Pelodiscus sinensis: one gene and its partner. The protein of the gene in region 2 purifies or fractionates together with the protein of the main gene of each other region. This does not show direct contact. Links are inferred from orthologs where the notes say so. Each region holds a gene or a part of one and is shown on either strand. Other genes may lie near its edges.

Evidence for each region.
Region 1: the proteins of ADNP (region 2) and ZNF644 purify together in Homo sapiens (affinity purification with mass spectrometry; 3 studies listed by BioGRID and IntAct, with this or other methods). This does not show direct contact. The link is inferred for Pelodiscus sinensis from reciprocal best matches to the Homo sapiens genes ADNP and ZNF644.

The regions. Positions count from the first base shown.
Region 1 is NC_134719.1:33,385,444-33,400,702, forward strand, and holds the start of ZNF644 (zinc finger protein 644), read right to left. Parts: upstream 7,098-15,259; 5' UTR 1-7,097.
Region 2 is NC_134728.1:18,563,230-18,578,894, reverse strand, and holds the start of ADNP (activity-dependent neuroprotector homeobox protein), read right to left. Parts: upstream 7,735-15,665; 5' UTR 7,366-7,734; intron 1-7,365.

The DNA of each region.
Region 1 (15,259 bases), on a different chromosome or scaffold from region 2:
ATATTTATGAGAAATTTAAAGCCCAAAACAATGATATTTTCAGAAAGTTTTAAGTATTGGAAAATAGGTGCTTATATTTGAGGAGGCAGTTTCATTATAACTCTCAGAATAATGTATATTTTCTTCTGAGAGTGACGGAATTGAACAATTTGCCACAAGTACATTTCTGAACTTCCATTTTCACTCAGGATGAGGTTGTGAGATTTTTACCATCTATTACCCTGAAAGAAAAGCAGATTCATCTTAGGTCAGAGTTGAAGCATGCTTATCATATAGTTATAGAAGTCAATACATATGAATTCAAGATTCCTGATAACACTCTTCTCTTGATTTTTGGAAGCAACAATTGATTAGATAAATAAAAAAGCGTCATGAATTTTTATCTGGTCGTTTAATTTTAAAATTCAAGTTTTTCTCCATGCATTATTTGTATTATGTTAGCATATAGGAACAGTAGTCACAGATCAGGAATCCATTGGGCTATTAAAAACAGGATGATTTCATTATGAACGATAAGTTTTTTATAGTGATTTTAGTACCTATTAAAGATTCCTAAATGACAACACTGGAATCTGAATTCCTATTTGACTACAGCTTGGATGGCAACAGTGCAAGTTTCCGAAGCCACAGAGCAGGGGTGGGCAATAATTTGACCGGGGGAAGGGGGGCACTCCAAGATTTTAGGAAGTGGGTGAGGCCACATTCTTCCATGATATTAGTGGAGGAGGTGTGAGGTCTGGATGGAGGTTGGGTGCAGAAGGGAGTTTGAGATAAGGGACTGTGGTGCAAGAGGGAGAGTAGGGTCTGGGAGGGAGTTTGGGTGAAGGAGGCAGTTGTGACCTAGGGCAGGGGACTGGGGTGCAGGGATTTGGTTTGTGATCTAGGAGAGGGAACTGGGGTGCAAGAGTCTGGGTTGTGACCTAGGGTAAGAGGGGATTGTAATCTGGGGCAAAGGATTGGGGTGCCATATCTGCAAGGGGACATGGGTACAGGAGGGGGGCAGAGGGTTTGGGTATGTTTAAGGGGTGGGCAGTAGTCTGGGGAAGGGAGGGGCCAGGGTGCCAGAGGCAGGCTCTTGCCAGGAGACTTACCAGTCAACAGCTCAACCAGCCTGCTTGCCTGCAGAGCTAAATGCTTGCAGAGCTTAAAACGTTTCTCAGCCAGCCTGCCTGCCCCGGGCCTGCACACGCTGAAATGCCATGTGCATGTGTGAATAACTGAGCTGGAGGGGAGGAGGTCATGGTTCTTTAAACAGGCAGCTCCCATTGGCCACTTTCTGACCAGAAACCAGCCAATGGCATTGTGCTGAGGGCGGGGGCAGTGGCCTGAAAATCTTGATATTTGAATACATAGGATTGGTAACACTGAAGAGCATATCCCCATCCTGTTGGGACCATAAACTGATAACCAAATTAGCTGTAACACAAACAACTATTTCTAAAGGTTTGAAAAGACAAAATCTAGCTAAGTCCAGCTAAAGCAACTTTTCACAATAAGTACAATTGCTCCCATCTCAACAAAGTCAGAACCTTTATCGTTTTACTGTAAAAACAACAAATTATTTGTAACTTAAAGATGTCTTGTGTATGCCCCATTAAAAAAAATCAAATTATTTGTAAAGGTAAGAGAGCCTCAAGGTAATCAATACTATGGATTCAGTTTCAAATAGTGAAACTTCAGAAACAGGAAATTTGCTTCTCTGCACTGAAACTTGTTTAGTACTCACCTTTGTCACATGACTATCTTTAAAATGAATATATTTTTGCAGTGGAAAATAACCAGCAGTTTCCTCTAGCTGTGATTCAACACTCATTAAAGCTGTTAAGTTTTTGCTTATTACATACTCAGTTTCAGAGTTCCATTTACTATTGCAGAGACATCCGTTTAGTATAAATTTCAATAATTTAAAAGCCACATTAATGTATTACAGAACACAGAGCCAGGAATCTTCCATTCCTCCTATTTTTTTTAATTACCAATGTGAGCTGTATTTTTGTGTGGTATTTGTCAGAAACTGATAAAACACCACACACTAGCAAAAACCCTCAAGTTCTCTCAAGAAAACAATTTGTCCAGTACAGGTATAATGCAGACCATCTAAGGCCATGGTTCCAACATGCTAGCCACTAGCCACGTGAAGCTATTTGGCCAGTTTAGTGTGGCTAGTTCTTCACTATAGTGGCTACTGTTTCAGAACCAGTTGGACATCATGAATCTAAGGTGTACAGAGGTAGTGTACATTTGAGGGAGAAGTGATAAAGGAGATATACATATGCATTTGATACGGTCTCGTATGATCTTATCAATAAACTAAGGAAATACAACCTAGATGGGGCTACTATAAGGTGGGTGCATAAGGAAGGAACAATCAGTTTCATGCATACAGAATGGGAAGGGATTGTCTAGGAAGGAGTACTGATGAAAGGGATTTACAGGTCTTAATGGACGACAAGTTAAACACGAGTCAACAATGTGACACTGTTGGGAAAAAAAGCAAACATGATTCTGGGATGCTCACAACACTCTTGTTACTGTAAGACATGAGAAGTGATTCCTTCACTCTCCTCTGCACATATTAGGCCTCAATTGGAGTACTGTGTCGAGTTCCGGGCACCACATTTCAAGAAAGACGTGAAGAAATTGGAGAAGGTCCAGAGAAGAGCAACAAGAATGATTAAAGGTCTAGAGAACATGACCTATGAACGAAGAACGAAAGAACTGGGCTTGTTTAGTTTAGAAAAGAGAAGACTGAGAGGGGACATGATAGCGGTTTTCAAGTATCTAAAAGGGTGTTATAAGGAGGGGGAGAAAAATTGTTCTCCTTGGCGTATGAGGACAGGACAAGCAGCAATGGGGTTAAATTGCAACAAGTGAGGTTTAGGCTGGACAGCAGGAAACACTTCCTGCCTGTCAGGGTGGTTAAACACTGGAATAAATTGCCTAGGGGGGTTGTGGAATCTCTATCACTGGAGATATTTAAGAGCAGGTTAGACAGACACCTGTTAGGGATGATACAGATCATGGCTACTCAACTTCGGAAGCCCTGGGGCCACAATAATACTCAGAGCACATGCTGAGGCCCGCAACTTAAGTGTGGGTGCATATATACACAAATATATGCATATAGCTCCTTTCACACTGACAGTCATGAATACAAAGATTAAGGCAAGACTACATAACACACAGGCCCCATTTAAGTCAGCTCTACTAACATTAATAACATCCAATATTTATCCAATTTCCACCCATATGACAGCACTTTTAATGAGCCAGGAATTCAACTACTAAAGCACATATCAACCCAAACCTCACAGTAAACCCAAACCACACCATGGGCCTCAAACAAATGGGCTTGGGCTGCATGTGGCCCACGGGACACGTGTTGAGTAGTCCTGATCAAGACAGTGCTTGGTCCTGCCATGAGGGTAGGGGACTGGACTCAATGACCTCTTGAGGTCCCTTCCAGTTCTAATGTTCTATGATATTTTAGTTTGTTTTTTCACTTTTAAAATAAAGTTCTATTTTCCAGAAAAGACAGCTCTGCAATATAAATCAGCCATACTTCCACCTGCTCTATGTAAACATTCCCTCCCCAAGATGTCTTTTCTTCAGTCATGTCTATGCTACCATTTATGTTGGCAAAACTTATGCCACTCAGAAGTGTGGGGGAAAAACCACATTCTCCTAAACAACAAACGTTTCACCAGCATAAGTGGCAGTGTGAACTATGCTATATTGGCAGAAGAGTTTCTCCCAAGGACATAACTACTTCTACTTGTTGAGGTGGTTTTATAATGTAAATGGGAGAGCTCTCTCTTGTTGTCATAACAGCTACCCAAGCGAACTCTGTAGGCTCACCAGCATAGACCAGTCTGATCTCTTGTTCTGGTTCATGTGTTCCTGTCAGATGTCGGGCCAAGCAGGATAGATAGCCTCAGTGGAAATCTCAGTCACCAAGAACCTATCCTAATCCTTTATACTTTGCATCTTCTATGATATCATTGATTTACTATCTTCTTTGATAGAAACTGGAATCCTACCCACTGTAATCCAATCCTATCAGCTCATACGTCTGAGTCTTCCAGGTATTACACTAAAAAAATGAGAGCATGTTACAGTGCAGAACCAAACACTATGGATATCGAAGTATTAGGGGACTGATTAATGTATCTCCTGCTTCAGTCCTCTCATTCTAATTCCTTAATCTAAAAATATTTTATTTGGGTTGACAGCTGCGCTGCCCAAGATATTTTTTTCTAAAGTTAAAAAAGGACTCCTTTATGGAGCAACACTAAATTGAAAAACAGCTTTTAAAAACATTTCCTATGTATTTCATTGCTACTGAATATGCTGCACAACTCACTTCTTGACAAACTATTCTTCCAAATCTAAGTTTTCATCTAAATGAAGTTTTGTTCCTAGCTTTCATGATAGCAGGCAGTCTGAAGAGTCTAAGATAGATGAGAACAGTCTCCATTTAGCTTTATGGAGTACATTATAATCACAGAAGTGTAGGGCTGAAAGGGACCTTAAGGAGCCATCAAGTCCAGCCTCTTGTGTTGAAGCAGAGCCAAGTAAACCTAGACCATCCCTGAAATGTTTCTCTAATCCAGCGGTTCCCAACCTTTTCCAGAAGGGGACCCATTTTGACAATTCAGAAAGACTTGGTAACCTAAGGCAATCCAAAAATGGGGAGAGTGGGGGAGGGCAGAGCCACCTGGGGAGACACTTGGTGACCCTTTTGAAATGTAATAGATTGGGAAACCCTGCACTAATCTGTTCTTAAAAGCCTGCATTGGTTCAACTTCCTCATTTGATTTCAGAATCAAAGGTCAGCATTTTTAACCATTACTGGTAATCATTTCAATATAAACATCCAGCCAATATGTTTATCCCAGCAACCCAAACCACCCAAATCTTCTCTATCCAGCTGCTAAAACATCTAGTTTCCCAATGATCCCCACTGAAATTACATGGAAACTCACAAATTTTGTGGAGAGTGTTATGTGTATCAAACAAATTAAATGCTAACCAAATGATTAATACAGAGGCTGAAGGTTTTGAGAGCAATATTCTAAATTCATGGTGTCCAACATGCTAGCCACTAGCCTCAAGTGGCTAATTCGCTATAGCAGAATATTTACAACAACCATGGTGTCCAAGCCGTTTTGAAGCAGTAGCCACCACACACACACACACACACACACACACACACACACAGAGAGAGCGTGCCCGAGCATGCGCCAGGGCTCAACAATCAATGTAATCTACTTGCCTGTGGCGAGTAGATTACAAGCCGGCACCAGCAACGCAGCGCGGTTAGCGCATGCGCAGTGTGGTCTGCACATGTGCAGCGCCCCGAACCGAGCGGCTGGCGAGCAGGGCTCCCCGCGGCTTGGTGAACCCTGTATATAGCTATATAGTTATACATAACTACAGTGGCTACTGCATCAGAACTAGTTGGACACCATAGTTCTAAAATATATAAAGATGTAAAGATGTGTACAAAATACATTTAAAGTACTGTTGAGACTGAGGCCACGTCCCTACTTGTCGCGCAGGATATCAGTCTTCTGGCATTCTGAGTTAGAGGGTCTAGTAAAGACTCGCTAAACTGAACGCTGAGGGTGGCCCCGGTCAACGCCATTACTCCTCACATTTGCAAGGAGTAAGAGAAGCCGAAGGGATCATTTGCTCCTGCTGACATCCCACTGCGAAGATGGTGTGAAGCTTGGTTTAAGGACACCAACTACATTATTTTGTTCAGCCTTAGGTAAGGTCTAAAGCATTGAACCGGAGACAATGTTAAAGAATTGTGAAAGTCTCCCCCTGCTTTCTTGTCCATTCAAATACTAAGTAGCACTAATTTTAACAAAAATAACATCTTATTGGCAGAAAAGAAATTTTTTTCAGTATTTATAATGAAGATTTGTAAGAATTTTCAGCAACCAACAGTGCCCACTGAAGAAAATAGGAATTCAACACTTCTGAAAAATCTGGCCACTTTATTTAGGTGCCTAATCCTTCTCTTGACATTTTGGTTCAAATAGGGGGTGTAAAGTGCTTTTTCAAAATTCAGCCTCTTTTACATAAAAATGTGGATTTTTAAAAATATTGCTTTTATTTAATTATGAAGCAGTTTCAAATGTTCTATGTCAATGTCACACAAAGAATAAAGATGATTTATTTTCTATGTATCAAAAATGTTTAGTCTATTCAAGGTTTACTTTCTACCTCAACCGACCCCCCCCCCACGAAAGATTGATCATTCTTAAATGGTTTGGGGCTGGTTTGTGTTTAAGTTTAGTTCTCATCTCCATCAACTCTGACACTTCCAAAATAAAGTCTTATTCTCTTCACTATATATTTAATAGACTTACAGATTTTTCAGGCCAAAAGAGGCAATCACAATTCAGTACGATCCCTCCTCCCATCTAAACACAGACATTGAATTTCAACCAATTTTTCCTGTATTGAGCACAATAACTTGTGATTGAACTAGAACATATCTCCTAGAAAGACGTTTAGTCTTTATTTAAATATTCCACGGGATAGAGAATTTATCAAGAACCTTAACAATCTGTTGGTTAATCAACCCTTTTTGTACCTTCTTTCCTGTAGGCATTTGTCCAATTTCAACTTCCTGCCACTGGATCTTGTTATGTTTGTCTGCCAAATCCTCTAGTATCAGACATCTTCTTTCCGTGTATGTACTAAGCATGATCAAGTTGTATCAAATATTTTTTCAATATCCTAAATACACCAAGCTCCTTAATCTCCCACTAGAAGGCTTCACAGCCCATGATTCATTTTGGACAATTCTGACTTCAGTCCTTCATAGCTCTTCTTTATTCGTACACTTGATTTATCCTCCAAACCTCTCTTCTGTTCTCCTCTGCCTATGTAAATTCCTTTCCTTCACTTTGGCTGTGTCCAGACTCAGGGGTTTTTTCGAAAAAAGTAGCCTTTTTTCGAAAAAACTTCCCCTGCGTCTAGACTGCAGCCACGTTCTTTCGAAATTAAATCGAAAGAACGCGGCTTTTCTTTCGATGGCGGTAAACCTCATTTCACGAGGAAGAACGCCTTCTTTCGAAAGTTCCTCTTTCGAAAGAAGGCGTTCTTGAATGTAAATAGGGCTTCTTCGAAAGAGAGCATCCAGACTCACTGGGTGCTTTCTTTCGAAAAAGCAAGCCGCTTTTTCGAAAGTTCCACGTGCAGTCTAGACGCTCTCTTTCGAAAGAGGCTCTTTCGAAAGTATCTTTCGAAAGAGCCTCTTTCGAAAGAGGCTTGCAGTCTAGACATAGCCTTTGAGATTCTGAAGCATCCTCTTTCTTAATATACCATGTAGTCTGTCTTTCCTCATTATAACCTAGCTCCTTGCATTCACACTTCCAATATTTTTATTTTACTTATGTCTAGAGTAACTGGCAGACAGATCAGTATTGTGGCTACAAGTGACTTTTTATCATTACAATTCAATTTTATTAAGTATTTGCATTTCAAACAAAAATTACATTCTTTTGTTGCTGTCAATTCTTTCCTTCCTGTAAAATTCTCACCCTTTTCAACTTTTTTTAATTAAAACTCTGCATTTTATCAATTCCTAGAAAATTCTAGGTTCACACACACCACTCCTAACATTGGCAATATACAAATGAAGGAATTTTACTAAAAAATTTCCACTGATGCTATCACCAGATGCAGCTGCAGTTAAGCCTCCTGAGCATATTAATCACTCCCCCCCCCCCCGTGAACAAAATATTATAGGTGTATGGAGATAACTATTTTATCTTCTCCATTATGCATATGTCACTATGAACATCACACCTATTATGCTGCTCACCACCTTCTTTAGACCTCTTTTAGTATTAGTATTTTCCAGATGTATCTCATTAAATTGCTCTTTTTGGGATTACTCCTCCTCCAGTGTATTAACTTGCATTTTTCTATGTTGCAATTTGACATTTTCTATTAATATTTCTAATATTCATGTTTTCCATTATTACTCAATTTCATGGATTTAAGATCTGTAAATTTCACTATTGTTCTGTGGCTTTTACCTTCCTCTAGGGCAAGACAGCTTGCCTGGACTGCCTTCTGATTTATCATGCTTCAAAGGAGTCTACCCAATGTATTGTTTGGATTTTTGGGGGGTTGAGGAGACAAAGAGGTAGCCATTTCAGCTCCTGTTACAAGGGATGAGAATTCTCCCCACAGGAGGCACCTTTGTAAGGATGCTGCAAAGGGTGTGTCCTCTATCCCTGCAGACCTCAACCCTACAAACACAGTCTTCATGGAACAAGCAATTCTGAAAGCAGTTTTCCCTTAAAGCCAAAAAGTACTGCAATTACACCAGTGTGAGGGGATATCCTTAGGAAAGTAGTCCTTGTCCTGCTGTCTGGAGCCATAGTCTCCAAAATACAAAATAAATTGTGCTCTTTCAATTGAAGTGACTGAATAAAAAGAAATATTATAGATGAACAAGTGATCACAAGACTAAAGATTCCCTTAGTGACTAGCTATATAAACAGAGGCACGCACATTTCTCTAAATGTACAATGTCATCATTTAGCAAAATTAACAAAATTACAGTGTGTTAGAATTCATTAAGTATGCCATTCCCAATACAAGTAAAACATTAAGGTAATCAATAGGTTATTATACAATGAAAAGAATACCAGTTATTAAGCTTTATAGTTAAAATATTGCTCAAAGCCAACACTTAAAAAAAAAATCACATCTTTTTAAGTATACATTTTAAATATTCTAACTTCTCCATAAAATGGTCTTTGGGACATAAAAATGAAAAGCTTTTCTGTACGTTAAATAAAAGCCTCTTGCAGATCAGTCTTTCCCTATTTTAAAATAAAATACATACAATTCCCTGTATACTCTCTAATTTTAAAGAGAATTAAAGCCATTTTCCTTTTGAAGCCAAGTACTGCCACCAAGTGGTGGTCAAATTCTTTAACCAACAATTTGTTGGAATAGACCAAAAAAACCAACAACAACAACAAAACAGAGGACTGAAAACTTTTTTTCCCCCAAAACCAGCATGAAAAACTATTAAAACTATTCAATTACCACAGACACAGTGGATTTGTTAAGTGTTTCAGAACTAAACTTTCCTTTCAGTCTCAACTAAAGCTTTTTTTCTAATACTAATTTTAAATACAGTATTGTTTACTGTAGCTTTTAACCAGTATTCAAAGCCATGAACAAACATTTTTTTAAACTCTTATATTTATACTGAAAATTAATAATATGATAGAATAGTTATATCCTGCAAAGGTTAGAGTAAATTTAATTTTAGAACTAGGAATGTGAAAGTTTAAATTGGTAAGAACCGGTTCCAATTAACTGTTAGCTGGTAGGGGCTGGCACAGCTCCCCAATTGCCATGGGCAGCAGGCAGCTTTAGCTTCACTGGGGGGCCTGCTGCGGACCAGTCCAGCATCCGGAGAAGCCTTTGTCTGTGGTGGACCCACGCCACTGTGGACAGGCTGCTCTGGCAGGGGCTGGCATCCAGCAGCCCTGTGGGCAGGGGGCTGCTCCCAGCTAGGTTGAAGTGGTCCCCCACCCAGATCCTGCTTAATTAGTTCAATGTTAGGTTAGCTTAACGTTTAACCAGAATTTTACAACCCTATTTAGAACAGCAGTAACAGTTTGGTGAATTTTGATTTCTGTAAGAATTTACATGTTAAGCTAATGGGACGGACGCTGTCTTCCTCTGATCTGTGCTAAGGATGTTAAGTATCAGGTAATTGACTAATCCAATAGCCAATGCATTTTTGCATCAACTATTCGATTAATCTATAGGGTACCTCCGCCCCTGAAGTTTATCAACAGCCCCTATGGCTGTTACTATACTTCAAAGGCAAAAGCGCCAAAGTCTGGGGTCAGCTGGGGAATCACCAGCTGATCCCCTGCTCCACATAGCGCTGACCCTGGGCTCTGTGCAGCACTGCCACTTTGAAGCACCCCTCTCACTGCCTCCATCTGATAGGAGCAGCAAGGCAGGGGGGAAGCATTTGCTTATTGGACAGTTGACTAGTCCTTCACATCCCTAATCTGTGTAGCCCAACCTGGATATTGTCAAAGTTTAAATAGTAAAAAGGCTTAGAATCCTCTAGCAACTCTAAGGGTACGTCTAGACTACATGCTTCTGTCGCCAGAGGCATGTAGATTAGGCTACCAGACATAGGAAAATGAAGCGGCGATTTAAATAATCGCCGCTTCATTTAAATTTACATGGCTGCCGCGCGATAGTCTGGACAGGTGGGTGTCGATATCAAAGGTATTTGTCGACCACTCAGGTATACCTCATCCCAGGAGGCATACCTGGGTGGTCGACAAATACCTTTGATGTCAACACCCGCGCGTCCAGACTATCGCGCTGAGCCAACAAACAGCTGATCAGCTGTTTGTCAGCTCAGCGCGGCAGCCATGTAAATTTAAATGAAGCAGCGATTATTTAAATCGCCGCTTCCTATTCCTATGTCTGGTAGCCTAATCTACATGCCTCTGCCGACAGAGGCATGTAGTCTAGACGTACCCTAAGAAAGAACAAGATTTTCCTAGAACAATCCAGGCAGGGCTTGCTTACATATAAAGCTAGCACTCAGCCATTACTGAAACTGTTTTAAAAGTATTGTGTTTATATATCATCCTCTCCTGTAACTTGTACATCAAAGTTTTATGGTTCTTTTCAGTAGTTATTATTACATGATTTCTCTTCAAGTTGCTTGATCATGCTGCTGCAATCAACAGGCAGTCACACATAAGGCTTATTCTCACAGTGGTTACAGATTTTTATTGGCAGTATGAAATTGAGTTTTCACAGTGCAAATCATTAATACTCAAAATTCCTAAGAGTTTTTTGTTTACTGAAAAATTAATCAAATAGAATTTAAGTTATTTTATATATTATAGTGCCTAAAGGTCACAACCCTGTTGGTCAGGAAATGGAAGAAATCAGTTCATTTTGATTACTGACCAAAACATCTTAGATTTGTCAAACTTTGACATCAGCTTGTGCATTAGTACAAGAGTACAAATTCTGAAATTCACAGAAAATCAGGAGCATAAAGACAGAGAATTTCCACATCCATAGCATGTTGCCTCAGTATGAACTTAAAGTCCAGCTTCCCTACAGTCAACTTAAGAAATTTTTAACTCACTTTAGCTGACGTTTGTCATGTTTTTGGGATTTTTCAAAGGGACGTTCCATTAAGCTCCAAACGAAAATTCTTTCTTCAGTTCATATTGACACATATCTAGTAACTTGATACTTTCTTTGGTTGATACTGGAGTTATGCCATTTTGCTCTTTGAAAACAGATTTTTCAAAATGAAAAAATACAGCTCTAGTAATGTGGTCCATTAAATATTTTATAGGTAACTTAATATTGTAGGTACAATTTATAAACTTAAAGCACAATGAAGTATAACTGAGGAAACCATCCACCCTATCTCCCCAAAATCCATCTTCTCTAGATTAGCAAGACTTTCTAATCTTCAAAGGAAAATGGCAATGATCAGCACTTTTATTTTCTTCTATGGCTCCTCACACACTACCAGAGGCTATCCTTTCTAGTTTCCTGATGCATCTTTCAAACTTTAAGGGCAAGCCCTCCCTTCTCTACCCAACTCTACTATACTGGTCAGTGATTGACATTTAGGGAAGTTCTTTGCACCTGTCCTGGGGCCTGCGTCTTATGCTCCTAATTCAATAGCTATGCTCTCCAATGATCACATGTATTTTTAAATTATAAACAATAAAAGCCAATTCTAGGCCATGCCAAGGAAATAAAGACTGGGAGCTAAGAATCTGGCTGTTTGGGATGTGGAGAGAGAGGATTCTCTTTTCGAATATTAGCCAACATACTGAATGACAGGAAAGGAACCAAATTTTTTTTTCCAGAATAAGAGAGAGAGCTACCACACGTCCAATGTGCAAATTACAGTAAAAGAAGAATACCAGGCTGTAAAAGTGGAATAGGATACAAAACACATAACACCTAATTTTTCTTTTCATTGCCCAATAGGCATCTGGACTATATTTAGTCTAATGTGAAATTAACTGCATAAATCAGTTTATTTGTAAAACTATTTAAATTCTCTCTCACTCTCACACACACACACACACACACACAATCTAGTTGGAATCTTCCAGAGGAAACAAAAACACACTTAAAGTTTTTTTTACTGTTCAAGTAAAAGAAAAGTTGGAAATTCAGAATTCTACATCAAATTACAACGATCACGACTTTAGGATACATGAATGCGCAGAACAAAAACTGAAAAAACAAGAAATAGTCTAGTAGCACATTAAAGACTAACAAAACATGTTGATGGTATCATGAGCTTTCGTGGGCAAAACCCACTTCCTCAGATGACTGGAGTATAAGCAGCCCAGATCCAAAAATAAATAAGGGGGAGGGGGAGAGGGGAGTAAGGAAGGAAAAAGGGGAGGTGAGGAGGAAAAAGGAAAGACAGTGAGTAGATAGTTCAAATAGTTATAAGAGGCTGTTAAGAACCATTAGCACCTCCATTGGTTGGTTAGTTGGTTGGTTAAGTCATTAAAAGGTGGAAGATAGTGTATGAGCCATCCTATATCCCGGTTCAGAGCATTTGCATAAGAATTAAACTTGTGAATGAGGTTGAGTTCCAAGCCTTCTCTCCAATCAAAGGCTCATTTAACTGCACATCCACTAATGTGATCTATGCCATCAAATGCCAGCAATGCTCCACTGCAATGTGTACTGGCCAAACTGGACAATCTCAACAGGAAAGAATTAATGGGCACAAACCAGATATCTGACAAGGCAATACAGAAAAACCTGTTGGAGAACACTTTAATCTTCCTGGACTTTCATTCATGGATTTCCAAGTCACCGTTTTGTTTCAGACAAATTCCACAAGCCAAATACACAGAGAAGGATTGGAACTTAACTTCATTCACAAGTTTAATTCTTATGCAAATGGTCTGAACTGGGATATAGAATGGCTCCAACACTTCCACTTTTTAATGACTTAACCAACCAAACAAACAATGGAGGTGCTAATGATTCTTAACAGCCTCTTGTAACTATTTGAACTATCTACTCAATGTTTCCCTTTTTCTTCCTCGCCTCCCCTTTTTCCTTCTCCCCCTCCCCCTCCCCTTATTTATTCTTGGATATGGGCTTATTATACTCTGGTTATCTGAAGTTGTGAGGTTAGCCCACAAATGCTCATGGTACCATCTACATGTTTTGTTAGTCTAGTATCACCTTAAAGACTATTTCTAGTTTTCAGTTTTTCATGTTACAGATTAACTTGACTACCACTCTGAAGCTTCAGAACAAAAACTCTTCACCAAGTCCATCCTCTGCTTTCCAGTAAATATATCTTGCAATTTGACAAATATACCAAACTAAGTAATTTATGTGTCATAATTATACACTGCATTAGGTAAGCCAAATCCGAGAGACAGATCTAGAAAACAATGGTTACTTACCTTTAACAGCAATGGCTCTTTAAGATGTCTTATCCATATTTGATTCCACCTCTGGTGCACACAAATTATGTGCACAAGAGCCAATTTTTTTTTTTTGACTAGCCGTGTCTCCTGGAGTCCCACCAGTTTTACAGATGTCCTCACAGTCGCTCCTCAACTCCTTCAAGGCTCCCCATGAGTATTCACTCCCATGGAGCCACCTGCTCCCTGCAATGCTGCCTCTTCACCAGAGGCAGCATGGGTAAAGAAGTGGGGAAGATATGACCCAACTATTTCTCATTTCCTTTAAGGATACAGAATTCTGTGGCTATGAGGCATGAAAGCAGGGAAGGTAGACAGTTTGTGGAACTCTATGTAGACACAGGCACTCAATAGGCAGTGAGCCACTACATAAACTGGCCCTGACCCACAATAACCAATAAGGAGCATGACTGCGGAGCTCTGTCTGTACAGCAAAGGATCCTTCACAGAGACCCATGCCAGTCCCAAGAACATACCTTCAGATCTTGTGTGTTTGGTTTTGGGATTTTTGCAGTCTCATTCATCTGCCACTAAACCATGGTACTCATCACACCCCTCCTCTCCATGCTATCACCCATCCTCATCCTCTTGCCTCTTCCCTACCCCTCCCACTGGCTCCATCTTCCTTTCCTAGTTATCTTAACCAGGGATGTCAGCATGTAGTCAATTACATGATTATAATGTAATTATATCAACTGCATGCAACTCCCCCTTTGGTGACTCTGATACAGAAGCAACAATGGGGCGGGGGTGGAGTGGGAGCTGGTGCCCATGGGGAGCCAGCTTTCAAGCCGGATCCTGAAGAGCCACCTGCCCCCCCTTCTGCCTTCCAGAGATGCAGCAGTGCGGGGGGGGAGGGGTTGATGTGTGAAGAGCCCACCTGTCCCCTTCCAACTGTCCCCCCCACGCTGCTGCCTCTATGGGAGGTGGGGGGGAAGCAGGCAGCTCTTCAGAGAGCCGGCATGTGCAGGGAGCCAAATTAAAAGCTGCTGGGGAGTCAGCTTAAAAGCCAGTTACCCACGAACACCAGTTCCTGCAGAACTGCCTCTCTCTCCCACCCTGCCACCTGTGCTGATAGATACACAGCAGTGTGGAGGGTTAGTGGGGCTGGCAGGAGCTAGTACACATGGGAAGGAGGTTTCAAGCCAGCTCCCCAGGCGGATTGGCTCTCATGGAGCCACCTGACCCCTGCAATGCTGCCTCTTCATAAGAGACAGCGGAGGTGGGGAGGGAGAGAAGGCAGGAGCCGGTGCTCGCAGGGAGCCAGCTTAAAAGCCAGCTCCCCCAGAGCACTGACTCCTGCCTGCCATCCCTGTGTGTAAATGTGTAGCCACTAGAATTTCCAGCAGTTACACGTTTACACAAATAAACAATAGTTAACATCCCTAATGTTGACCCCTCTACAATACTGCCTACACATCTATCCCTGCTCTTTTCTTCTCCAACCCCAACCTGCTCCCCTCCTCCTGCCTGCACAAATCTAGGTCTCTCATACAAATCCTCATCATCTTTGGTGACATTTGCCCCAACTCTGACCTTCCCTCCACTCCTCATCTCCACCCGTCTTGCATTACCATCCCCAACCTCACACCTGCCCCCTTCCTCCTCTTGCTGTGATTTCTAAAAAGAAGAGTCATTCAGGATCTCTTCCTCTGTCACTCGTTCTAGCTCCTGGCTCTCTCAGACCTCATTCCCTTTGTCTGCCTCTGCCTCTGTAGATGCCCTGATATGGAGGCCCA
Region 2 (15,665 bases):
ATGGTGTAACTGACAGTGACTCACTGTAGAAGAATATGGCATTTGTTCCACTCTTATTTAAAACCATAAAATATCAACAGCCAAAAAACACTAATGTATGTGAGGTTAAAGTGATGCTCTCCAAACATGGGCCTCACATTTGGGCTACCATTCTCAAATGCAATTAAGGTGTAAACAGTATACTTTTTTTTCCTTAAAACATATGGCCTTTGTGCAGATACATAAACAAACTTGTTTTTTTAGTCTTATCTTAAGCATCTCTTTAGCTATCTTATGTCAAGCTGATGATTCTCCTGAAAGTCTAGAATGAACAAATCCATTTATTAGCCAAAAGGGAGCATTTTTTATACCACGTTAGCCTGGTCAAGTTAGACTTTATCTAAACACAAAAGTTGTACAGGCAGTCCCCGGGTTACGTACAAGATAGGGACTGTAGGTTTGTTCTTAAGTTGAATTTGTATGTAAGTCGGAACTGGTACATATTGTAGGGGAAACTCTAGCCAAACATTTCTCCAGAGCTCAGTTTTATTCTCCCACACCTCACTTCCCTCAGTCCTTTATTCTCAAGCTGAGGTGTCTGCTGAGAAAAGCCGCTCTGCATCTCCCTGGTCTGCTGGGGGGGACCGTTAGCTTCGCGTCTCCCTGGTCTGCTGGGGGGAAGCAGCTAATGCGGGGTTGCCTCACCCCGTTTGTAAGTAGGGATCCGATGTAAGTCGGATCCATGTAACCCGGGGACTGCCTGTATTACTTTACCTAGACTGGTATAGTATAGTTAAGTGGTACAACCCCCATGCTAGTGTGGACAGGTAGGTTATGTCTATACTACAGAGTCTGTGTTGGCATAGTCCCCTAATGCACACACAACATACACAGACAGAAGAGTTTTTGAGTAGTTTAGCAATGTTAGTTATGTCAACTCTTCCATTGACACACCTATGTCCACACTGGGGATTTTATAAGTATAACTATATTTATCAGGGGCATGATTCTCTCACACCGTGACCAATGTAGCTGTGCTGATCTGTAAGTGTTGACCATGCCTTAGGCCTTGTGCATGCATAAAACAATGTAACAGTTATAGCTAAAGATCTAAAAGTGTAATCAGGTAAACAATAGGGATGTAATAGTGCATCCAGTTAAACAATTAACCGATAATCAGATGCTCTCCTCCTCCACGCACCCTCTACCCCCCCAAGGTTCTGCAAATACATTTTTTAGTGGGCTGGCCAGCAGGCTGCCTCAGTCCCAGCTTACACCAGGTCACAGCAGCTATGCAAGAAAAGTAATTTAGGAGCTTGCCTGACCACCAGCTCCTAAATAACTTTTCTTGCAAAGCCACAGCCAGGGTAACTGCTGGGACCACCAGTGCAAGTCAAGACTGAACTGGCCTGCTTGACCCTAGTTCCCAAGCTACTTTCAATGCAGAGCCGTTTATTGGGTAACCATGTAGCAGACAAAATATTTGTTGGCTACATGGTTAACGGATTACATTCAATTTAACATCCCTAGTAACCAATAAGCATCAATGGCACCAGTTACACTCTTCATAGGGCTGCCGGGAGCCACTGTTAACCATGTAACTGAATTTCTATCAGTTACACGGTTTAATAATTTTTTAAAAATTGTACATCCCTAGTTATAGCCATCCATTATCCCCTGATCAATGCAGTTATGTCAATCTAACTCTCTGTAAACACGCATAAGTCAGCTAACATCACTCTGAGAAGTGGCATTCCGATAGCAGAAAAATCCCTTCTGTTACTGTAGCCCAGAGGTGGGGAACTCAATGCCGCAGGGCTGGATGCAGCCCCCGGGTTGCCTGGATCCAGCCCTGGGGCCCCTCGACCATTGGGGAACCCGCACTGGCACTCCAATCCCCCTAGCACCCCACCATGTGGCTGAAGCACACAAAATATACTAGGCTAGGTGCCCCAGGCACTGCTGTGCAAAAGGAATGTGGGGAGTATCTTTCTCCTAAGTCAGGAGCCAGGTTAGTGAGGGTTTGTGCCTTCTTTGCTTCTCACTTGTGAGTGGCCCCTTAGTGATTTTTCTGTAGATCAGCAGCTCCCGACATAAAAATGGTTACCTACCCTGCTGTAGCCTGCAGCAGCTGGGTCACAGCACTATACCTATTGTACTGTGCTATGCCACTATAGCACAGACATGGCCTGCAGTGTGGCCTGTTAAATAGATATGGCGACATATCTGTATAAACGTGCTTATATTCCTATAGCTTTCAACCTTTCCTGAACAGGAGAAAGCTCTACCAATATAAATACATATATATCTCTATAACTGCATTCACACTAAAAGTTGTATTGGTATAGCTACCTCAGTTGAAAAAAATCACAATTATACTACATACCGCTCTGGCCCAGCACCCTCGAGACCTGACCAATCCTGATGGAGAGAATTTGCAAGACCAGACGAGGTCCATTGCCACTGGACCCAAGCCTTTGCCTGCTACTGGCTAGCTACTGCCGTAGCAGGCACACTGCCTCCCCCCACTATGTTGCTGGCCCTAGCAGGCTGCTTGCCCAGTTGCTGCTGGCTCTCCAGCCAACTGCATTGCCACAGGACTGTGGCCCCGACCCCACGCTGCTGGTAGCTGCTGTGGGATTCCAGCCCCAGGCCTACACTGTTGCGGGCTGCCGAAGGACTCCAGCCCCATGCTGTTGGGGGGCTGCCACAGGGCTGTGGCTCCAGCCCTGTCCTGCCCATCACAGGTGGCCCTCTTGACATCAGGCTCCTGGGCTCTTTGGTCCAGGAGCATACGTGGTCCAGTAGCCGGACCAGAGAGTGCCGGTTTTTGGAGGAGCAACCTGTAATACAAAATCTAAGCATAGATTATGCTTTTAGTTTAATATAACTGAAAAGCCCTCCTAATATTCAACATGCAGGCTAACATGTTTGAAAACTAAAAGGCCAGCAACATCTTAACGAGCTTTAAGAGGACTTAACACAACTGAAATGCTAGCTCAACTGAGCTAACAGGGCACAAGTATTCTAAGGCACTAGTGAATATCAAACGAAAACTCTGGGTAGAGCATATAGGTTATGTCTATACTGCGGAGCTATTTCATGATACTGAAGGTATCTCAAAATAGCTATCCCACGTCTTAACAGCGTACTCATTTTGAAAAATAACGGGTTTGCTATTCCGACGACCCCGTAAACCTCGTTCCACAAGGAATAAGGGATGTTTCAGAATAACAGGTTATTTTGAAATTGATTAGAAATAAGCTATGCAATTTGAACTACAGGTGTGGTGGAGACGCACCCGTAACAGGTGAACAATTTAAATCAAATAGCTGTTCACTTGAGTTAAAGTCCCAAAATGAAAAATGAAGTCCTAAAGATTTCAGATCCCGATGAGGATGATCACAATCCAATCTTGACTTGTTTTCTCTCTCTCAAACCGTATGCACATATATTAAAATGAAGATAATTTTCTATTTGTATTAATACATATAAAATGACAATCTGGCTTCTAAAGCTAATTGATTTTATATTTATTCAAATTTCTTCCTTTACACCAATCAAGCCAGATGCCACCTTCCACATTAAAAACAATAGTCATATAAAGTGTATGGTTTAGGCTGTGTACACATTGTCTTAATTCTGACAAACCATATGTTGTTAAGATATGGTTATGCATGCAAGAAGTGCTTCTTTGTAACATTTTTAATAGCCTTTTTCAAAGGTTGCAATTGCTCTTATGTACTAAAGCTGGGGAATAGCCACCCCTTATTCATGCTGGTATATGCAGAAAGCACAACTTACCTTGCACAGAGAGGATTGAATATGTACTTAGAAATCTAGTTAGAATTTCCCCTTCAAATTTAGGAGTCAATTGTTAAACTGGAGAGTCTAGCACAATTAAAATGTTTTAAGGCACCATTGTATGTTAATGCAAAATAATATTCGAGAGCTGGAATCTTAACAATTGATACCTTCAATCCTGCATAGAGCAAAAAGCTCAGTTATTTGTCTCTCCTTAGCTATCACATTCAGTAGCTGCATGATCATGGCTTGCTGAAGTTTAATGCTGCAAAGCACGCTTTTCAAAAACAATCTAGAAATTCTTTTAAAGCAGGTCCCTTGGCCCCAAACATATTGAGTACTATCACATTCTGTTCTTAACCTACATGTCCTTTTTCTTAAGAGCAAGTACAAGCTACCTTTCCTATTTTCTCACACATTCAAAATGCTATTTACTTCCCAACATATAAAACAAATGCTCTTACTTTAAAAAAAAAAAAAAAACTGTAGTAGTATTGGCCAATACACATTAAGGTATTAAAGATAAGTGTAGGCATTATTGGGGAAAAAGTGAAGTAGTTTTCTATAGTTCATTCTCATGTCAGCAGGCCTTGGGAGTTATAAATGTGAGTCAGTATTTGAAATGCTCGATATTAAACACACAACTGTTTCAGACGTGAAAGCAAGAGTGCATTAGCTTCTTAAAGCTGACTCTAAACTTTGAATGGGTAAACTATGTCGATCACTTTTAAATGCTGAAAAGCCAAGCATATAATAAATAAAAGTTACTGTGGACAGATCAAAATCACATTTAGAAAAAAGCAGTTAAAACCCGTATCAAGCGTAATAAATTCACAAGTATAAACTAGGGATGTTTTAATCAGTTAACCAGTTAAACGTCATGTTTAACCCATTAACTGCTTAAACCGAGCAGCCTGCCCACCTGCAGTGGAGTTGCGGGTTGGGGCTGCTCCAGTCAAACTGGAGCACCCCCTGCCTGCAGCATACAGGGTCTGCTCCTGCCAGGCTGGAAGACCACCTTCCGGGAGCTAGCCAGGCTATCTGTTAACCAATTAACCATTGACACCCCTAGTATAAACAAGCCTAATACTTTTGCTTAAATATCTAAGTATTTCTATGTAGGAACATGTTATCACCTGTGTGTCAAAAAGACATCTTCTCCATTCTAAGGCTTATCTTCATGTATACTGGAAGCATCTTCAGCAAAAATTTAACAACCATGCTACAATGAATCATCCTCAAGTGGCAATTTTTAGTAGTAACTGAGTATATTTCTTTTCATTTTTGTACAATATTCCAACTTCACTAAATGTTGTAAGGAAGATATTGGTTGGATTTGATTGATACTAAATTTCTACCCAACGTCTGTAAATATATATTACAAACAGTGTGAGGTATTAATATGTTTTTGTTTTATTTTAAAAACAACTGACTTTAAGGGGATGCTCCATTTTCTTTATTGGGACAGATAGTAACTGATACTAAGCTTTAGCAAATCTTCATAGCTGTTACAGTTACAATCCTCTTCAAGTGGAAGTTCAGTTTTTCCTGATAGTCCAGCTGTGACCTAGGTTGCCTAAATAGCACTGTTGCTAACAGGGAGTCAGGCATTTCAATCTGAAAGTATTTCAGTAGGCCATATTGTGCTGCACAAGACTTCTTCATCTAAACATAATCCTCTCCTCAAAGTTCAAATATGAATAAAGTTAATGGAAAGATCACAGCATAAACTAAGAAAATTCTATCATATTTTTCTAAAAGACTCCAGAGTCTTAAGCCTGTTGAATATTTTGATTAAAACCAAGATCATGAAACAAAATTATGGGGGAATCCCAGTTGTCCAAGCAAAGCATAGCTTACTCAGTCTACAGCAAAAGCAGGCAATGCTTTAGTAATGCACCATATCATTGAAGTTTCTACATCATCACTGCCATGCATTCCCAATGCGTGAAAAAGCCATGCAAGTTTATAAAGCAGATGGCACCAAAACCCATAATCAAGTTTTCATATAATTACTACATTCTCCATGGAAGTCCATGTATAGCCTTTCAAGAGACAGAAGTCATCCACGTGCTCTAATTCTCTTATTTTTCCATTTAATCAGTGTGATCTCTGAACACAAGTAGTCTGTCGACTTAAAAAATGATCTGAGATTATTATAGTGACAGAGTTACTCAACCCCTATGAACTGAATGAAAATACAAAGTAGTAGTATTGTGAATGGTACTGAGAATTTGATTCCAAGAACACAATTTAGTCACCGTTGTTTAAAAAAAAACATACTGAAGTGATCAGATTCTTCTCTAAATCACTGCTCTGTTCACTAAATCCTTTACTATGCTGCTGTCAGCTCATAAGAGCAACTAGCACTTGTGATAGGCCCATTTTCCCAGGTCTGTAGAAGGCGCTGTGTGGCAGCTCCTCTCCATGCATCTGGGGGCCCTTCCCCCTCTCTGCAGCAACCTTACCCAGTGTAGAGAATGCGCCCCCTACTGACTCGAACACTCATCTCTCCTTTCCTCCGAATTGGCTGCGGTGCATTTTGGGTGGGGGCTGGTATTTTTCTTCCATGGCCATAAACCAGATGCAATACAGATTTAAGGCAACCCCAACACACATACAAAAAAGGAGTCACATTCATTTTGGTGCTTTAAAAAATCACTTAGCCTGCAAACACAAACGAAAAGCAGTATGATGGGGTGGGTGAGAAGGGTGCAACCTCGAGCGGCAGAGAGCAACATTTTAGGGATTCCTCTGCCTTTGTCTGAGAAATGGGTTACAGTAACTATGGCCCGGGATAGAAAGAGGAAGGGGAGCGTGAGTTGGTAGGTGAATGGTACTCCAGCCTGCAGTTACTGTTCTGCTCAGGGGACCAGTCATGAATCGCGCCTTTTCCAGCAGACAGATACCCCGGCTAGTGGGGGAGGCTGCTCTAGTCTCCATTCATTGCACCGAAGCCAGCACTGCTTTCCGGCCTCTCTCCAGCGCCAACTCTGCCATTAGGGACCTTCACCAGGCAGGCGGCATGCTAAAGACAGCTCTGAGATGCTAGAGGCGATGGATCCATACATTCACTGATCCAGCTCGGCTACTTCACCCCACCATCCGCCGCCGCCAGTGCAGACCGTGCAATGAAAGCCACCCTCGAGGCACATCCATGTGCAGCCTCCGCCGCCGGGGGGTGGGGAGGGACCGAGGGAGGAGGCTGGGGCTGCATCTGCCGTGCGGGCCCTGGGCAGACAGAGGGGAAGCCGGTAGCGGTCCCTGCAGCCGGTTCACGCGAGTGAGCGGGCCGGAGCAGAGAGGAAGAACTGGCCTCTTCAGTGCATACAAGTCTTTCAACATGTGTGCAGCTGCGGAGAGAGGCGGGAGCTACCCGCCAACTCCGCAGCGCCCGCCTGCAGCGGGCATCGCCTTGGACACTGCACTGTGCGGGGACGGCAGGGGCTCGTGCCCAGCGGCTGGGATCGGGCTGCATGGGGCTATGCCCCGGGGTTCACGGGGGGGGGGGGCAGCTGTACCGCAGCACGGATCGGGGGTGAGGGCTGCCTCCTCACGGCTCTGACCCGCGGACGCACCTACCTGCCTGGGGCTCTCCTCAGCAGAGGAGGGCGGGCGCTCCCCCGGCACCTCTGGCTGGGGGTGGGGGTGCGCGGAGCTGCCTCCCTGGCGCCGCCCGGGTCCCTGGGCGGGCGGGCGGAGCGGAGCCGGCGGCGGCGCGGGGGAGACAAAGGGGGCTGGATGGCGGGGGGGTGAGTGTGTGTGGAGGTGGCCTATGGTGAGCAGGTCCCGGGGGGAGGGGGCGGTGGCGGCTCCACTGCGCTCGGTCCCCGGAGGGGGGGGGTGTCAGGCTCCGGGCCGGGGGGGGGCTCCCTGGGCGCCCTGCAGACAATACAGCCGGGTCCCTCCTGCCCAGAACCTGCCCTGGCCAAGATGGCGGCCGAGAAAGAGCGGAAGTGACGCGAGACTCTCATTAGCATACGGGACTCATTGTCCAGCGGGAGGGGAGGGGGCCGCGCCCCGGGGGGGAGGGGGCCTGAGCCCCGATGGGGTCCTGTTCGCCTAGACCCCATTTCACCTCGGGTGTGAGTCCTTTAAGGGAGGGGGGGGAGGGGAAGTAGGTTACATAACTCTGCCGATGGGGGGGGCTCTCGCGAGAGGGGCACCCGGCGGCGGGATCTACCCCAGGCCCGCTAGGAGGCGCCGCGCCCTGCGGCTGGGGCCTCAGCGGTGTTTGGCGCCGCCTGCTTATCCTTCCGCCACCCCTAGCCGGGACTACATCTTGCCTGGCGGGGAGGAGAGGGGCCTAGCCGCTGTGTCTGGAGCGGGGGCACGAGCATAGTGAGCACATGCCCACGTGATACATAAATGACTGCATCACGTGACCTCATCATAGTGAGCACACTACCTCGTGCCCGAGTGATGGTGCGCACACCTTGCACCAGGGAGCTCTGCCTATGTCAAGGCGTGGGAGCACCTGGCACAGGCTTTGGCACCACAAAGACAAAAGCAGGGGAGGCCAGAAAGGGCCTTTGGCTATAGAGAGATGGATCTGCTGTTTGCATGTCTGGCACCTCAGTGTTCTGTAGCAGCAACAGAGATCAGGCTGTACAGCATGCATAGGGCATTAATGTGGAGCATACACATTGCAGTAGTTATCACACATGAGCTGTGGTAACCATACACAAAAGAAGTAATTACACCATGGACAGTGCAAGAGTGACCACACAAAGAAAAAGCATTCACACCTCACACCATGGACAGCGCAATAGTGATCACACTGTGCACAAAGCAATAGTAACTACACTCTGGCTTTAAAGGATACAAAATAGAGAAAGAGGAGCAGTTAAAAATCTTTTGGGACAGTTGGGTGCTTTTAATATTTCTTTTATTGTATAGCAACAGTATTTTATTTGTCTTTGGAAAATAGCACCAACATCTTCCAAACTATTCATTTACCCTAACAAAATTTGGACTTCTAGAAGTAGGTCACACTTTAGATTTGGATAATAAACCTCTCTACTTCAAACTGTACCTCATGGAAAAAGCTCAGGGTTGACACAGTGTAAGATTTAAGGTTAAGTCATAAGGCTGGCTCAAACTGGGACAACTGGAAGAAGGAAGATTTAAAATTAAATTAAGGACATTGTAAATGTCTTATTAATAAAATGTATCACAATATCTTTAATTCTAAAAGAGACACTTTAAACGTTGCTCTTTTTTACCACCACTTTCTAAAAATAATTGAGATTTGGCAGGTTTTGATCTAACATACAGACACGAAAGGGTTTTGTGAAACTACAGTGATTATATTGTTTATTACTTAGCAGCTTTTACACACAAAAAAGTAAACCAATTTTATCTTAAAAATGTTTAGGTTATATGTCAAAACCATAGTTTCCATATTAAAACAAGTGTCATCTCACAAACAAGGGTCCTAACTGGGGCTACTCATGGTCCATAAACTTAAGCTAAGCATATGCAAGATCCCTTTGCAAGATTGAGGTTTAATTCAGTAAAAGTGCACAAAGTATCTTTAAATGAGATGGTATGAGAACTTTTTATTACATAAAAAATACTGGGATAGTTTATAGATACAATGTATCTCAGTGTTTCAAAACATGTTGATTTAGAATGATCACTAGAACTGTACAAACAGAAGTATAAAGTTTGAAAAACCATAGCCTGAAATTAAAAGTAAGGAAAACTTGCAGTAGATTACTTAAACTTCACAAAAGTTCAGTCCCAGATTTTCAAATTTCTCTAATCTGAAACATCCCCTTTTTTGTAGAATTTGTGATATTTTGTAGAATTTTCTTTTTTACTTGTTTCTCAAATTTTAGAATTTATTCTTTGATTGTCATTGTTTGTGCAAACCAGTCCAAATGATCACATGCATTTTCCTGGTAAATTCACATTAGTGGTCATAAGAACTAGTAAAACATGAAAAAGTCCATCATTTACAATCTCATTGAAATACACATACCTTATTGAACCCTACAAACAAAAATTGGTTAGTGCTATTTACTGTAAGAACTTTTAGAAAGGTGCTATCTAATTGTTCTTTAATTATGTGCCTTCTAGAAAACTTGACAATATACGTGCAACTTTAAGCAAAAAGCTATTTTAAGTTCTTATATAACTTGCATTTTCTAAGGATAGATATTTTTCATTTTATAGTGCAGTTTTGGAAAAAATGCTGGAAAGAATTTGTGAAGCATAGTTAAATGGGTACCATATTTCTGACCCTAACAAGTCAAAAGAAACCTTCTACAATGCTTGCATTCCTAAATAGCCTATGGAGAAAGACACCCTTTCCTGAGGTAATGCAAAATTGACTGTACCACAGAGTGAAATATTCTAACATGTACTCTACATCCAATTAAAACAATTTCATGGTTGCATATGAAAACAAAAACACCCCCAAACAAGCCTTATGACTTGATTTTTTCCCACTGAGTCTCATTTTAGCTATTGCTTATTAATATTGCAGTATAACAGATGCTATTATTTTCCAAACTTGGCTCTATCTGGTCAGAATTTTGGTTTTGCTTTTTACAGACAATTATGATTTGAGCAGTGGATTGCCATTTGCAACACATTTAATAGAGTGCTGCACGTCACAACTTTCCCCCTGAAATTAAAAAACAGGACAAACTAAGATTATCCAAAGAGGGGAAAAAACACTTATAATGGAGTGTGGAGGAGGGAAACACCCGGAGGGAAGTAAAGATTACCCTCTGCTCTATTGCAGCTAATTATTCTGGGCTGAAATGCATAAGTAACTGAAATGCTTTACATTGTGTAGACTTAACTAAGGAAAATGAATAGCAGTTACAGATAAGTGAAACTGAAATCACTAAGAATTAATTTAGATTTGTGGTGGCAAGATTCAGTAATTACTCATTTAACACGTGTGTCCACTTAACACGTTTTCACAATAGCACGATTTTTTGGGGGGGATGTTTTTCGAATAACATGTCTGTCCCTGAAATAACGCAAAAATAATCAAGTGGCAGACTACTTCGCATGGAGGTATAAGTTGGTGAAAACAGTGGTAATACGCATGAGCGGATGAATACATGTGGTCACAGCACTCCTCCGCTCACTCACGTGTTTATCTTTGTATTTTAACAAATCATGGCGACTTGTGTTGCTAGATATCTAATGTGGACGTTGATGAGCCAGCACCAACAAAAGACTGACTTTGCCGCCACCACCTGAAATGCAACCCCCCACCTTTTCCATTATTTTTAATGGGAAAATTGACCCCGCATAGCATGTTTTCGCTCAGCACGAACATTTTCAGAAGTGCATCTATAGTGTTAAATGAGGATTATTGTAGTCCTAAACAGTATTTGTGGGTACTTAGAAGCTGTGCAAGGCAGGGAGAAGTATATCAGTAAAGTGAATGCATAAAAGGAAGTTACTCACCCTGTGCAGTAACGAGTGTTGTTCGAAACGTGTGTTCCCGTCGGTGCTCCACTGTTGGTGATGGGTCATCCTGGAGCTGCAATTTGGAGTTTTTCATAGCAGTTGTCAGTTGGGCTGCACATTCGTGATTGGCATTTTGTGGCATTCACATCTTAGCACCTCACGTTTGTGGCATTTTGTGGCATTCGCATTTTAGCACCTCCCTCAGCTATTCTGGTGTAGATGTGGAACTAGGTACTCTGAAGTAGATGGGAGGAGGGTGGGTCGTGGAGCACCCACAGGGACACACATCTCAAACAGTCTTTACTGCACAGGGAGAGTAACTTCCTTTTCTTCTTTGAGTGATGTCCCCATGGGTGTTCTACTGTTGGTGACTTCGAAGCAGTGACCAATCTGGATGGTGGGCTTTGGAGTCACCACTTAATGGCTGAGGATAGAACCGCTGTGGCCAATGCAGAATCAGATAGTAGGATGGCATCATGTTTAGCAAAAGTATGCTCGGATGACCAGGTGGCTGTCTGGTAAATGTCTTTGAGGGCAACATTATGAAGAAATGCCATGGTTGAAGCAACAGCACTGGTGGAATGTGCTCTTGGTGGCACTGGCAAAGTCTTATTCCATAAAGTGTAACATCACATCATACATGATGATATCCAGTAGGAGATGCATTGGACAGAGATGGGCATACCCCTCAAGTATTCTATGATGGAAACAAACAGATGATAAGACTTGTGGAAAGCTCACATTCTGCCTATGTAAAAGTTGAGAACCCATCAGATATCCAATGTATGTAGGATGATGTTCTGACGACATACATGTGGTTTTGAATAGAAAGCAGGTAAAATAATTGGTTCATTGATATGGAACAAAGTAAAGACTTTTGGGAGAAAAGTAGAATGTGACTGTAAAGTAACTCTGTCTTTGGCAAAAACTGTATAAGGTGGGTCCACCATCAGATTCCCGATCTCACTGAACCTCCAGGCAGAGGTGATGATGACTAAAAATGTTACCTTTGTGAAAAGGAAAGGAAGGGAGCAAGTCACCATAGGCTCAGAAGGAGGCCGTGTCACGGAGTCTAACACTAAGTTCAAGTCTCATACATGTGATGGGGCCCTGTTTTGGAGTCCCTTAAGGAACCTTTTGGTGATAAGGCACGTGAAGACCAAGAAACCTTCAAGTGTCTCATGGAAAGCTGTAATTGCTGCCAGATGAACCCTTCGAGATGAAATGGACAAACCTCCAGTCTTTAGTTCAAAAATATAATCAAGGAGGCTATGACGCAGAGATGTGCGAGGGTTGATCAGTCTGCACGCACCAGGAGAAGTGCCTCCATTTGTAGAGGTAGGTTGTGTGAGTGGAGAGCCTGCTGCTATGGAGAACATCCTTCACCTGTTCAGAGCAGCAAACTTTGGAATTGTGGAACCAGACAGCAGCCAGGTGTTTAGGGAAAGAATGTGAAGCTGGAGATGCAGAATTGTCCCGTGTTCCTGCGAGAGTAGATCGTGGCAATCTGGAAGAGGATATGGAGGTAGGGGAGACAAGCAGTGGAGGTATGGAAACCAAGTCTGCCTGGATCAAGAGGGAGCTATCAAGATGACTCAAGTGCCATCTGAACGGATCTTGTGCAGAACCCTTGGGATAAGAGGGATCGGAGGGGAAAGCATAGCAAAGTGGTGCATTCCACATCACCAGGAAGGCATCCCCCATGGATTCATTGCCCAGCCCCTTCCAGGAGTAGTACTAGGGGCACTTGAAGTTGAGATGTGATGCAAATAGATTTATCAATGGGAATCCCCATTGTCAGAAAATTGAAGTAAGGACCCAAGGATGCAGTTCCCACTCATGATCTGTGGAGAAATAGTGGCTGAGGGCATCTGTCATAGTACTGCTCATCCCAAGTAGGTCTGATGCCCTGAGTGTGACTTAGTGATGTTTGCACCAGTTCCATAGGTAAATTGCCTCTGTGCACAGGGAGCGGGAGCATGCACTTCCCTGTCTGTTTATATAAAACATTGTGGTCATGTTGTCCATGAAGATGCAAACTGTTTGGCTGCAGATAGTGGGGGCGAAATGGATACAGGCATTCCTTACAGCCCTGAGCTTGAGAAGGTTGGTGTGCAATCTGGCCTCTTGTGGTGCCCATCTGCCCTAAGCCAGTTGATTTTGTAGATGAACATCCTATCCCAGTAGGGAAGCATCAGTTGTGATCTGCACTGATGGCTTGGGTTGGTGGAAAGGGATCCCAGCAAGGTAACCCCAGCAGATAACCTTATCTGGGGACATCCACCATCGGAGTGAAGTGAGAACATCACATGGTAAGGTTACCGTCTTGTGCAATGGATGATGGGATAGGATATAAACCAAAGCAAGCCAATGTTGAAGTGAACGGAAATGCAGATGACTGTGTTGAAACACATATTTGTAGCAGCCATATGATCCATAAGCTGGAGACAGGTAAGGACTGTCGTGGAAGGGCTTGCAGATAGAATGCTGATCAAGTTGTGAAACAATGGTGAGGTAGGTATGCTTGAGCTGATATTGAATCTAGGAGAGCCTCTATAAACTCTAGGGACTGAGTGGGCTCAAATGTGGATTTCTGTTTTGTTTATGAGAAGGCCTAGATGTTCAAATAATTGCCTGGCCTGTGAAGCATGTTGGTGGTCTCCTTGTGGGATCATCCTTTTATGAGACAATTGTCCAAATATGGAAAAATGATGACCTTCTGCCTGCAGAGGTAGGCTGCAGCCACTGCGAGAATGTTTGAAAAAAACCTGGATGAAGGCTAGGTCTCCATCCCCCCATTCTCTTCTGGGTAAGGAAGTATTTGGAATAAAATCCTTTGCCTTGATAAGGATCGGGCACCCATTCCATTGCTCTGATGTGAAGCAGTCGATCGACCTCCTGTCATAAAAGCTGCTCATGCGAGGGGTCCCTTAAGCGGGATGGTGTAGGTGGTAGGGTTGAGGGGAGGGAAGTCAGAGATATGACATAACCTGTGTGGATTATCTCCAGTGCCAACTGATCCCATGTTATAGATTCCTAATGATGGCAGAAAGGGTGCAAACAGTGGGTAAAAAGATGGTAGTGCTTTGAAGGCACTGAATCTTTGGGGAGGTTGGGCAGACCCTCAACCAAAAACTGTTTTATGTCTTGGGAACCAGAAGGGTGACCCTGTGAGGGACGTTTCTTCTGAGTTCATGACCTGGAGCAATTGTAATTGTAGCCCCTGTGTTGTGGTCGATTACATGACCCATCTCTGTGCCTGTTATAGGGTGTGTAATGTCTGTGATGAAAGGAATGTGCGCAAAGTCATGCAGGAGTACTTGCTGCTGTGCAGGACTTCATCTTTTTTGTGTCAAATTCGTGCTTATCAAAGGGCAGATCTTCCACTTTGCTCTGCAGCTCTTTGGGAACCCCCACGGCCTGCAGCCATGATACCCTTCGGATCACAATAGCTGTTGCCATGGCATGAGTGGCAGTGTTATTGACATCCCGTGAAGATTGAAGTGCTGTACAGGCAATTGTGTGGCCTTCATGGATTATAGCCCTTAGGACTGGTCATTTGCTATCTGAGAGGTGTTCCATAAGCTCTGCCAATTTGGAGTAATTGTCAAAATCATGATGGGCTAGTAAGGCTGAGTAGTTTGCGGTCCTCAGCTGGAGCATGGTGGAGGTGTACATTTTCTGACCAAAATGGTCCAACTTCTTGTGGTTCTTGTCATTTGATGTTGCCTTAAACTGTGGAAGCTTAGCCCGGTGCTCTGCTGCCTCAACGAGGAAATTTGGCTGTGTGTGAGAGAACAGAAAGTCCATGTCTTTAGTGGGCATGAAATACTTTCCGTCAGCCCTCTTGGTGGTTGGTGGAATGGAAGCAGAGGTCTGCCATACCTCGTCCAATGCCTCCATTATTACCTCGTCAATGGGTAATGAGATCTTTCTGAGCAGCGTGGGCTGAAGTAGTTTTAGGAGCCTGTGCTGCTTTTTGTCTACTTCCTGGAGAATAGTGATAGAAATGTAGCCGTGTTAGTCTGGGGTAGCTGAAGCAAAATGCAGGACAATGTAGCACTTTAAAGACTAACAAGATGGTTTATTAGATGATGAGCTTTCAGCAGTGGCCACTCTTTTGAAGAGCTCCTGAAATTGTTTTAAATCATCTGCTAGGGATAGATCAGCAGGAATCACTGCTTTGTCCGGCAAAGAGGATGAATTGCTAGCCGGCGAAACATCTGGACATTGTGGGTCAGCGTCCTCATCCTGGATTTGCCCCTCCTCTTCCTCTGAGTCCTCAGTTGGGGGAAGACTGCGGGGTGGGTCCTTTTGCCATGGTGGATGAGGCCATGGATCAAAGATCAATGCCTATAGGACATCCAAGGATCTCAAGGTGGCCCTTACACCAAGAACCACAGTGGTGGATAAGGCCAGTGCACATACCACGGTGGGTGGCAGGC